Linked DNA regions of Macaca mulatta. The protein of the gene in region 1 interacts with the protein of each later gene in a pairwise test. Links are inferred from orthologs where the notes say so. Each region holds a gene or a part of one and is shown in the gene's direction. Other genes may lie near its edges.

Region 1 (2,201 bases):
AAAAGAAGGTGTATGTTGGGGGTTTAGAGAGCAGGTATGAAAGGGAGAGGGACTCAGTTTTAAGTGTTAGGTTTTTGAAGGGAGGACACAGGCCATATCCCCATATCTTTGTTATTTCCCCCAGGGTCTTGAAATACACAGCCCAGAATATGGAGCTTCAGAACAAAGTACAGCTTCTGGAGGAACAGAATTTGTAAGTATCCCTCCAAACCATTCCCTTCCTACGCTCCTCATTTAATGTTTTCTCACTCTTTCCCCTGCCCTACACTTGATTTCTAACAGGGTGGCTGCCTTCACTAGGTCTCTGATTCTAAGAAGCTCACAGTAGTGGGGAATATATTTATAAGTAACTGAGAATAAGCTAAGTACCTAGAAAAAGAAAGGGGGTAAGAAAGACCTCATGGGCTTTCATAGGATTCTGGGGTTGGGTTGGGAAAGCATTCTAGGCAGAGAGAAAGCATCCTAGGCAAGAGGATTAGCCCAGCATAGTCCTCTTGGGCTGGAACACATGTGAGCTGGGACAGAAGGTAGAGAACGTAGAGAATGCCCGGTGAGGATTATGTGCATAGCTGATCAGACAATGGGGAACTACTGATGATATTTGCAAAGGAGGTTAAGTCCTGGAAGAGTTTGTTTTGTTTTGTTTTTGCTTTTTTTGTTTGTTTTAATGAGGAACTTCAGGCATTTTTTCCAGAGTGGAAGAAGTCGTTTGCAAAAATAGAATGAAAAGTAAGAGAGAGGATCCAGTGCAGAGATGGAGGAGGTGGCCTGAACAGGAGTTTCACTGTGTCTCAGGGTGCTAGGCCAGGGGATGCTCACCATTGGCCCCTCTCTTCCTCTAGGTCCCTTCTGCATCAACTGAGGAAACTCCAGGCCATGGTGATTGAGATATCAAACAAAACGAGCAGTAGCAGCACCTGCATCTTGGTGAGGATAGTGATGAGGGGAGAAATTCTTTTCTCAGTTGCTGGGGACAGTTGTGCAATCCAGAGCCCTTCTTCATCTCCTTTTTCCTCTGCTGTAGGTCCTACTAGTCTCCTTCTGCCTCCTCCTTGTACCTGCTATGTACTCCTCTGACACAAGGGGGAGCCTGCCAGCTGAGCATGGAGGTAAGAGGCTTAAGGATAGCTCTCAGACATGGGCAAGGGGAGAGGCCTGGGTTGGCCTCTGAAGATTCTTTGTCTCCTCAGTGTTGTCCCGCCAGCTTCGTGCCCTCCCCAGTGAGAACCCTTACCAGCTGGAGTTGCCTGCCCTGCAGTCAGAGGTGCCAAAAGACTGCACACACCAGTGGCTGGACAGCTCAGACCACGTACTCCAGGCCCCTGGCAACTCTTCCTGCCTACTGTACTACATGCCTCAGGCTCCCAGTGCAGAGCCTCCCCTGGAGTGGCCATTCCCTGACCTCTTCTCAGAGCCTCTCTGCCGAGGTCCCATCCTCCCCCTGCAGGCAAATCTCACAAGGAAGGGGGGATGGCTTCCTACCGGTAGCCCCTCTGTCATCTTGCAGGACAGATACTCAGGCTAGATATGAGGATATGTGGGGGGGGTCTCAGCAAGAGCTTGTGGGGCTCCCCATCTGTGTCCAAATAAAAAGGGGTGGGCGAGGGCTGGCTGCAGCTCCTATGCCCTATCAGGAGGACTGAGGGCTCAAACACACCACACTTACTGGCTTTCTGGGTCTTTTATTTGTACCCATGTGTCTCACCCCATGAATGTACCTGGGGAAATCAACTGACCTCCCTGAACATTTCATGCAGTGAGGGAACGGGTGAGGAAAGAAATAAATAAGTGATTCTAATGCTGCCTAGGTCACCCTCAACCCCCATTTACTGGCACAACTGGGTGGGGAGAAGGGAAGGGGTATGATTGTCCTGATGGCTCAGGGTTGCAGAAGGTTCAGAGGGGAAGGAGGAAAGGCCAGGCTGGAGGCTGGGCTATTAGTGCTTTCCTCCCACAGTTCAGACGGTTCACTCTGGGCTCACGTTTGCCATGGCTTCCTTTGGTCCAAACATAGGCCCTGTCCTTAGTCCTGTGCCCTGTTCGACTTTTGGCCTGGAGGCCTTTTTGTGCTGCTGCTGTTGCAGGGCTAGCTGCATGGCCCAGATGCTCAGTGGCCGCATGTAGGCCAGTGAGCGGAACACCCGCTGCTGGCAGTATGCCTCTGGGGTCTGGAAGGCCAGACCCAGGCGCTCCCACACGGT
Region 2 (4,046 bases), on another chromosome or scaffold:
CCTGGGCATCGAGATCATTGGGACCCTCCAGCTGGTGCTGTGTGTGCTGGCCACTACTGACCGAAGGCGCCGCGACCTTGGTGGCTCAGCCCCCCTTGCCATTGGCCTCTCTGTAGCCCTTGGACACCTCCTGGCTGTGAGTCAGGGGCCCACCCAGATGGTGGGGGCGAAGGGAGGGCAGGGGCTGGTGGGGTGCCCTGCCATGGGCAGCCAGTGGAGCTCCCGGCAGGGCTCTTGCCATTGGGTGGAGGACGGCAGGTCAGTGCTGGGGACTGGGGGGCAGGGTCCTGCCCTGGAGAGGAGCAGAGGGACCTCCTGCCCAGCTTGGGGTCAGCACTCCTCTCTTGCTGGGTCTCATTGTCCCCCACCCTGATTGTTCTCTCTCCCTCCACCCTCTCCCTCCTCTCACTCTCTCTTCACCTGTGACTCTCTGCCTTTGCCTCTCCCTGTCTCTTTCCCTCACAGATTGACTACACCGGCTGTGGGATTAACCCTGCTCGGTCCTTCGGCTCCGCGGTGATCACACACAACTTCAGCAACCACTGGGTAGGCGACCCACAGGCTGCCCCTACTGTGCAGGGAGGTAGGGTGGGAGGCTTTGGTGTCCCATGGTAAGCCTGACCCCACTCTCACAGTGTCCCTTCCTGTCCTGGAGGCTCTAGGAGACAGCCAGGGGACAGGAAATCAGGAAACCGAGGCCTGCCATGTAGAGGCAGGGTGGGGTCACACTGTGAGCAGTTTCAGGCCCAGTCTCTGCCCTCCCAGCTCGGCCCTGCCCCATGCTGCCTGGCCTCCAGGTCATCCCAGTTGTGTGGTTGAAAGTGGGGCTCCAAATCCTGGCTCAGCCACTTTCAGGTTCAGCATGACCTTGCACCGTGTGCTTGAGCCTTGGTTTCCTGAGCTTCGGAGGGGCATATGGTGGTACCCACCTCTCAGGGTGGCCAGGAGGAGGAAAGGGCTCACTCCCTATCTGTAAACTGAGCGCAACACAGAGGAGGCGCTCAGTGGATTTTGTCTCTTATGGTTGTGGATGTGGATGTGCTAGGCCAGCTTTGCATTAGGCAATGGTATCTGGGGCCCTTTCAAAGCTGGAAGCGTGGGGGCAGTGGCCTTCCTCAAGAAGGGGCTGCTACTGCCCATGCCTGAGCTGGGCCATGCAGAGGCAAGGAGGTGCCCTTACCACGTACTCTGGCCTGGGCCAGTTTTGAGGGCACTGGAATCAGGATGTTAGGATTTGGTGCTCCTACCTGCCTCCATCGCAGGTGGGAGAAAACCTGTCCAACGGGGTGGTGGGCTGGGAGGTAACCCAGGGAACGATTTCCAGGGGCTTCTGAGTGGAGCCGTCTCAACGTACCTGCTCTGTTCCTAGATTTTCTGGGTGGGGCCATTCATCGGGGGAGCCCTGGCTGTGCTCATCTACGACTTCATCCTGGCCCCACGCAGCAGTGACTTCACAGACCGCGTGAAGGTGTGGACCAGCGGCCAGGTGGAGGAGTATGACCTGGATGCCGACGACATCAACTCCAGGGTGGAGATGAAGCCCAAATAGAAGGGGTCTGGCCTGGGCATCCACGTAGGGGGCAGGGGCAGGGACGGGCGGAGGGAGGGGAGGGGTGAAATCCATATTGTAGACACTCTGACAAGCTGGCCAAAGTCACTTCCCCAAGATCTGCCAGACCTGCATGGTCAAGCCTCATTTGGGGGTGTTTCTATCTCTTTCTTTCTCTTTCTGTTTCCTGGCCTCAGAGCTTCCTGGGGACCAAGATTTACCAATACATCCACTCCCTTGAAGTCGTGGAGGAGGTGAAAGAAAGGGACCCACCTGCTAGTCGCCCCCTCAGAGTGTGATGGGAGGTGTGCCACAAAGTCCCCCCTTGCCCCAAAGTTGCTCGCCGACTCACCTGCGCAGGTGCCTGGGATTCTACTGTAATTGCTTTGTGCCTTTGGGCATGGCCCTCCTTCTTCTCCTAACATGCACCTTGCTCCCAATGGTGCTTGGAGGGGAGAGATCCCAGGAGGTGCAGTGGAGGGGCAAGCTTTGCTCCTTCAGCTCTGCTTGCTCGCAGGCCCCCGACCCGCTCGGACTTATGGCCTGACCTTGGAATTGTCCCTATCTCAGGGCCTCAGCGACCTCCTTCTGCAAAGTGGCAGGGATCGGCAGAGCTCAATGGGCCTGCAACCCCTAAGTGCAGACACAGTATGGGTCCAGAAGATGTGGTCTAGACCAGGGCTGCTCTTTCCACTTGCCCTGTGTTCTTTCCCCAGGGGCATGCCTGTTGCCACACGCCTCTGTGTACGTGTGTGCAGAGCAGACAGGCTACAAAGCAGAGATCGACAGCCAGCCAGGTAGTTGGAACTTTCTGTTCCCCATGGAGAGGCTTCCCTAGACAGAATAAAGCCATTTAGAGGGTGAAGGAGGAATACCCATGTTATTTCTCTGAGTTTCAGTTGGTCTTTCCATCTATCACTGCATTATCTTGCTCATTCTTTCAGTTCTCTACTCCCTGTCATCAGTGTAGACACAGGTCACCATTATGCTGGCGTATGTTTATCAAAGAGCACTTGAGCTATCTGAAGCCCAAAGCCTGAGAACAGAAAGACCCTGATGCAGGTCAGCCCATGGAGGCAGATGACCTTGCTGGGCCTGGGGGTTTTCCAAGCCCTCAGCTGGTCCTGAGCAGGATGGAGCAAGCTCTTCTCTTGTTCATGAGCTCCTGGTTGGAGGCATTTGAGCAGGTGAGTAACCTGCACAGGCTTGCCGTGTGACCCCTGGCCACAGCCTTCCCTCCGCATTGACCTGGAGGGGAGAGGTCAGCCTTGACGTGATGAGGTTGCTATAGTTGCAGCCCAAGGACAGTTCAGAGATCAGAATCAGCTTTGAAGGCTGAATTCTTCCACTCATCTATCTACATAAGTCCATTCATTTCCACCAGGGCCAGAGCAGCTCCACCACTGTGCACTTAGCCATGATGGCAACAGAAACCAAGAGACACAATTACACAGGTATTTAGAAGCAGAGGGACAACCAGGAGGCCCTTAGCTATCACCAGCGCATCACGACTGCACACTGTCTTCTCCATTCCCTAGCAGGAACTTCTAGCTCATTTAACAGATAAACTGAGGCCCACGGTTTCAGCTAAACAATGATTTGGCCAGGCCTAGTAACCAAGGCCCTGTCTCTGGCTACTCCCTGGACCACAAGGCTGATTCCTCTCATTTCCAGCTTCTCAGTTTCTGCCTGGGCAATGGCCAGGGGCCAGGAGTGGGGAGGGTTTGATGGAGGGGAGAGGGGGCACACCCACCCCCTGCTTGGTTCTAGGCTGCTGCACACCAGGGCCCTGCATCTGTCTGCTCTGCATATATGTCTCTTTGGAGTTGGAATTTCATTATATGTTAAGCAAATAAAGGAAAATGACTTGTAAGGTCCTTCGGGCTTCCTGTAGTTTTTCTTCTTTTGATGCCATGTCCCCACAAATGTTTCTGGATGACTCCACAAGGAAATCAGTCCACTGCTAGAGACCTAGTCTGAGGAGGAGCCACTGCCTCCTCTTCTGCCTTCAAGACCACCAATCTCAGGCGATGGATACAGCCACACCCCCAAAACCCTATCTGAGGGATACAGGGTCCTGCCCCTAGCCGGAGACTTCCAGAGCCCAGTGGGATGACTTTGGAGACCTGGGGTCAGGGAAAAGGGGCAGGCTTCTGATCAGTTTAAATGGAGCGATGGGAGCCATTTCTGATTCCGGAGTATGGACGTGATGGGGGAAAGCAGGCCTGAAGTCTAACAGCCCCCTCATCCCCTCTACCCTCCACAGAGCAGGGCCCAGGGAACACTAGGGATTGTTCCACCTTCCTCCCTCCCTCCACTCACATTTGCAACCCATCTGACCGGGGCTGGGCATCTCAGGGGAGACAGACTCACTCATCAGAGCCCAGTGCAGTTAGGGCTACTTCAGATTGAGACTGGGACCCCAGCTCCTGACCCTTCCGATGTGCACACACACTTAGTAGTGCCTGATAATAGGGAACAGGTATCACCACGGCAG
Region 3 (2,349 bases), on another chromosome or scaffold:
ACTGCCGGCAACAGGACCCGGAGTGGCAACAAACCTGAGGACTGGCCTGTGTACCAGAAGGTGTGCGGTGGGCGGGGGGCTGCGGATTGGGGGCTGGGATCTGAGGGTGTTGGGGGCCGTCTGGGCTACTGCTCAGCTCTTCCTTCCTCCATTTAGTTCCTTCCCTTGATTCACCTGTCATTTGTACCTTCATCTACTTCTTTGTTAATGTAATTCATTCAAGGAACAGGCAGAACCCTTCCAGGCTGGGACTGGGGGGCTCTCGGTGGTTCTGCATGGTGGGGCGGGATGGTGCAGGGTGGGGTGGTGTGACCGTGTTCTCCCCTTGCAGGGCTGCATGGAGAAGGTGCAGGCGTGGCTGCAGGAGAACCTGGGCATCATCCTCGGCGTGGGCGTGGGCGTGGCTGTCATTGAGGTCTGAGCCCCCTCCCCCAGCCCTTCTCCATCCCTGGTCCTCCTGGGTTGTCTCTGCTCTGCTTTTCTCCTCGGGGAGGTGGTGGCCAAGGGCCCCAGCACCCCATCAGCTTCCAGAGGCCCTCTGGCCTGAGCACTGTCTGGCTGTGTGACCTCAGACAAGGCACTGCACCTCTCTGGGCCTCCCTCTACTGCCTGCATCACAGGGTGGTTGTGAGGCTCAAGTTGAGGATCCACTTAATCCCCATCTAAACCTGGATGGCGGGGCTGGGGCATCTGAGACCAGGACAGCCCAGCCTCCCTGTGACTCTCCGCCTCTCCCCACAGCTCCTGGGGATGGTCCTGTCCATCTGCTTGTGCCGGCACGTCCATTCCGAAGACTACAGCAAGGTCCCCAAGTACTGAGGCAGCTGCTGTCCACACCTCCCTGCCCGGCCCCTGACCTCAGGGCTCCCAGGGGTCTCCCTGGCTCCCTCCTCCAGGCCCGCCTCCCACCTCACTGCAAAGACCCCCTTGCCCACCCTGACTGAAAGTAGGGGGCTTTCTGGGGCCTGGCGATCTCTCCTGGCCTATCCGCTGTCAGCCTTGAGCCCTGGCTGTTCTATGGTTCCTCTGCTCACCGCTCATCAGGGTTCTCTTAGCAACTCAGAGAAAAACGCTCCCCGCAGCGTCCCTGGCGCAGGTGGGCTGGACTTCTACCTGCCCTCAAGGGTGTGTGTATATTGTATAGGGGGCAACTGTATTAAAAATTGGGAGGGGGGGCGTTAGATAAGGCACCCTGGGCTGTCAGGAGACTGCCTACTGGGCGGGTCAACTTATTTCCACTATGACATTTATATCTTTGTTTTTTCACAATTATATTGAAGGCAGTGGGAGAGGGTGGGTTTTACCTGATATTAAGGGGTAGCACCCCTTCCCCAGGCCTGATGCAGGTCCATCTAGACAGCTCAGATTAGCCTGGGCCATGCCCTGGGGACAGGGCTTAGGGGAGCTGGGTCGGAGGGGGTCTGCCTGGGTAACGAGATCTGGCTTGGCCCTGAGCTGCTTAGGGACGGGTGAGTCCTTGGGGGCATGGCACAGAGCTGGCCCTGTGTTTTCCAGGGTCCTGAGCTGTCCAGGGACAGGGAGGAGGAGGATGGCTTCTCCTGGGAGAAGGTGGGCTGGCCTTTCTTGGCAAGCTGTCCTCTGGCCCCTGGGGAGTGGGGTGGGTGAGGCTGTGCCTTGTAGGGGGGAGAGGGGAGGGGGCTCTGTGTGCACCATTCTGTAAAACACACTCAAGATTCTAAGACTATTAAAGAAGATTTATAACAGTCTAGTCTGGAATGGTAGGGATGCTGCTTCCTGGGGCAGGGGAGGACCCAGGGCAGAGGGTGTGAGCAGAGTGGCTGGGTCTGCTGGAGACTGCTGGGCCCCTCACGGCTCTGCCCTCCCCGCAGGCATCTGCCTCTGCAGCCTGAATCTTAGGACGGTGATGGGCCAGGCTCTGATGGGCCTGCCTGCACGGTGGGGTGCCTGGAGTTTGATTTGGTGCTAAGAGAGGTATAGATTGTATCTCTCCATTCCCGCTTCTGAAACTAGGGTATGGATGCCCCCAGAAGGTACACAAAATGTGGGCTGGTGATGGGGGACAGGGGCCACAGGATAAACTTGGTCTCGCTTTCTAGAGCATCATTTTTGCAAAGATTTGTGGAAGGAAGCATTTTCATACTAAAGAAATGTGTTAGAGTAAGATGTGCAGAATTCAGGGGACTTTTTAAAGATGAAATGTGAGACTTTGGGAGGTTGAGGCAGGTGGATCACTTAAGGTCAGGAGTTCGAGTCCAATCCTGGCCAACATGGTGAAACCCCATCTCTCCAAAAAAATACAGAAATTAGCCGAGTATGGTGGTGCACGCCTGTAATCCCAGCTACTCAGGAGGCTCAGGAAGGAGAACT

The links. The genes of interacting proteins can lie anywhere in the genome.
Region 2: the proteins of CREB3 (region 1) and AQP1 interact in binary tests that used the Homo sapiens proteins (3 or more experiments, as listed by UniProt). The two-hybrid records come from large-scale screens. The link is inferred for Macaca mulatta from reciprocal best matches to the Homo sapiens genes CREB3 and AQP1.
Region 3: the proteins of CREB3 (region 1) and CD82 interact in a two-hybrid assay, tested with the Homo sapiens proteins (2 studies listed by BioGRID and IntAct). The two-hybrid records come from large-scale screens. The link is inferred for Macaca mulatta from reciprocal best matches to the Homo sapiens genes CREB3 and CD82.

Annotation. Positions count from the first base shown.
Region 1 is NC_133420.1:63,959,731-63,961,931, reverse strand, and holds the end of CREB3 (cyclic AMP-responsive element-binding protein 3), read left to right. Parts: coding exon 1-34; intron 35-124; coding exon 125-193; intron 194-842; coding exon 843-927; intron 928-1,024; coding exon 1,025-1,109; intron 1,110-1,190; coding exon 1,191-1,525; 3' UTR 1,526-1,547; downstream 1,548-2,201. Other genes in the region: GBA2 (non-lysosomal glucosylceramidase), read right to left, coding at 1,968-2,201. UniProt on the Homo sapiens protein: Endoplasmic reticulum (ER)-bound sequence-specific transcription factor that directly binds DNA and activates transcription. Plays a role in the unfolded protein response (UPR), promoting cell survival versus ER stress-induced apoptotic cell death.
Region 2 is NC_133408.1:97,453,143-97,457,188, reverse strand, and holds the end of AQP1 (aquaporin-1), read left to right. Parts: coding exon 1-136; intron 137-465; coding exon 466-546; intron 547-1,369; coding exon 1,370-1,549; 3' UTR 1,550-3,426; downstream 3,427-4,046. UniProt on the Homo sapiens protein: Forms a water channel that facilitates the transport of water across cell membranes, playing a crucial role in water homeostasis in various tissues.
Region 3 is NC_133419.1:20,973,131-20,975,479, reverse strand, and holds the end of CD82 (CD82 antigen), read left to right. Parts: coding exon 1-60; intron 61-331; coding exon 332-415; intron 416-741; coding exon 742-819; 3' UTR 820-1,729; downstream 1,730-2,349. UniProt on the Homo sapiens protein: Structural component of specialized membrane microdomains known as tetraspanin-enriched microdomains (TERMs), which act as platforms for receptor clustering and signaling.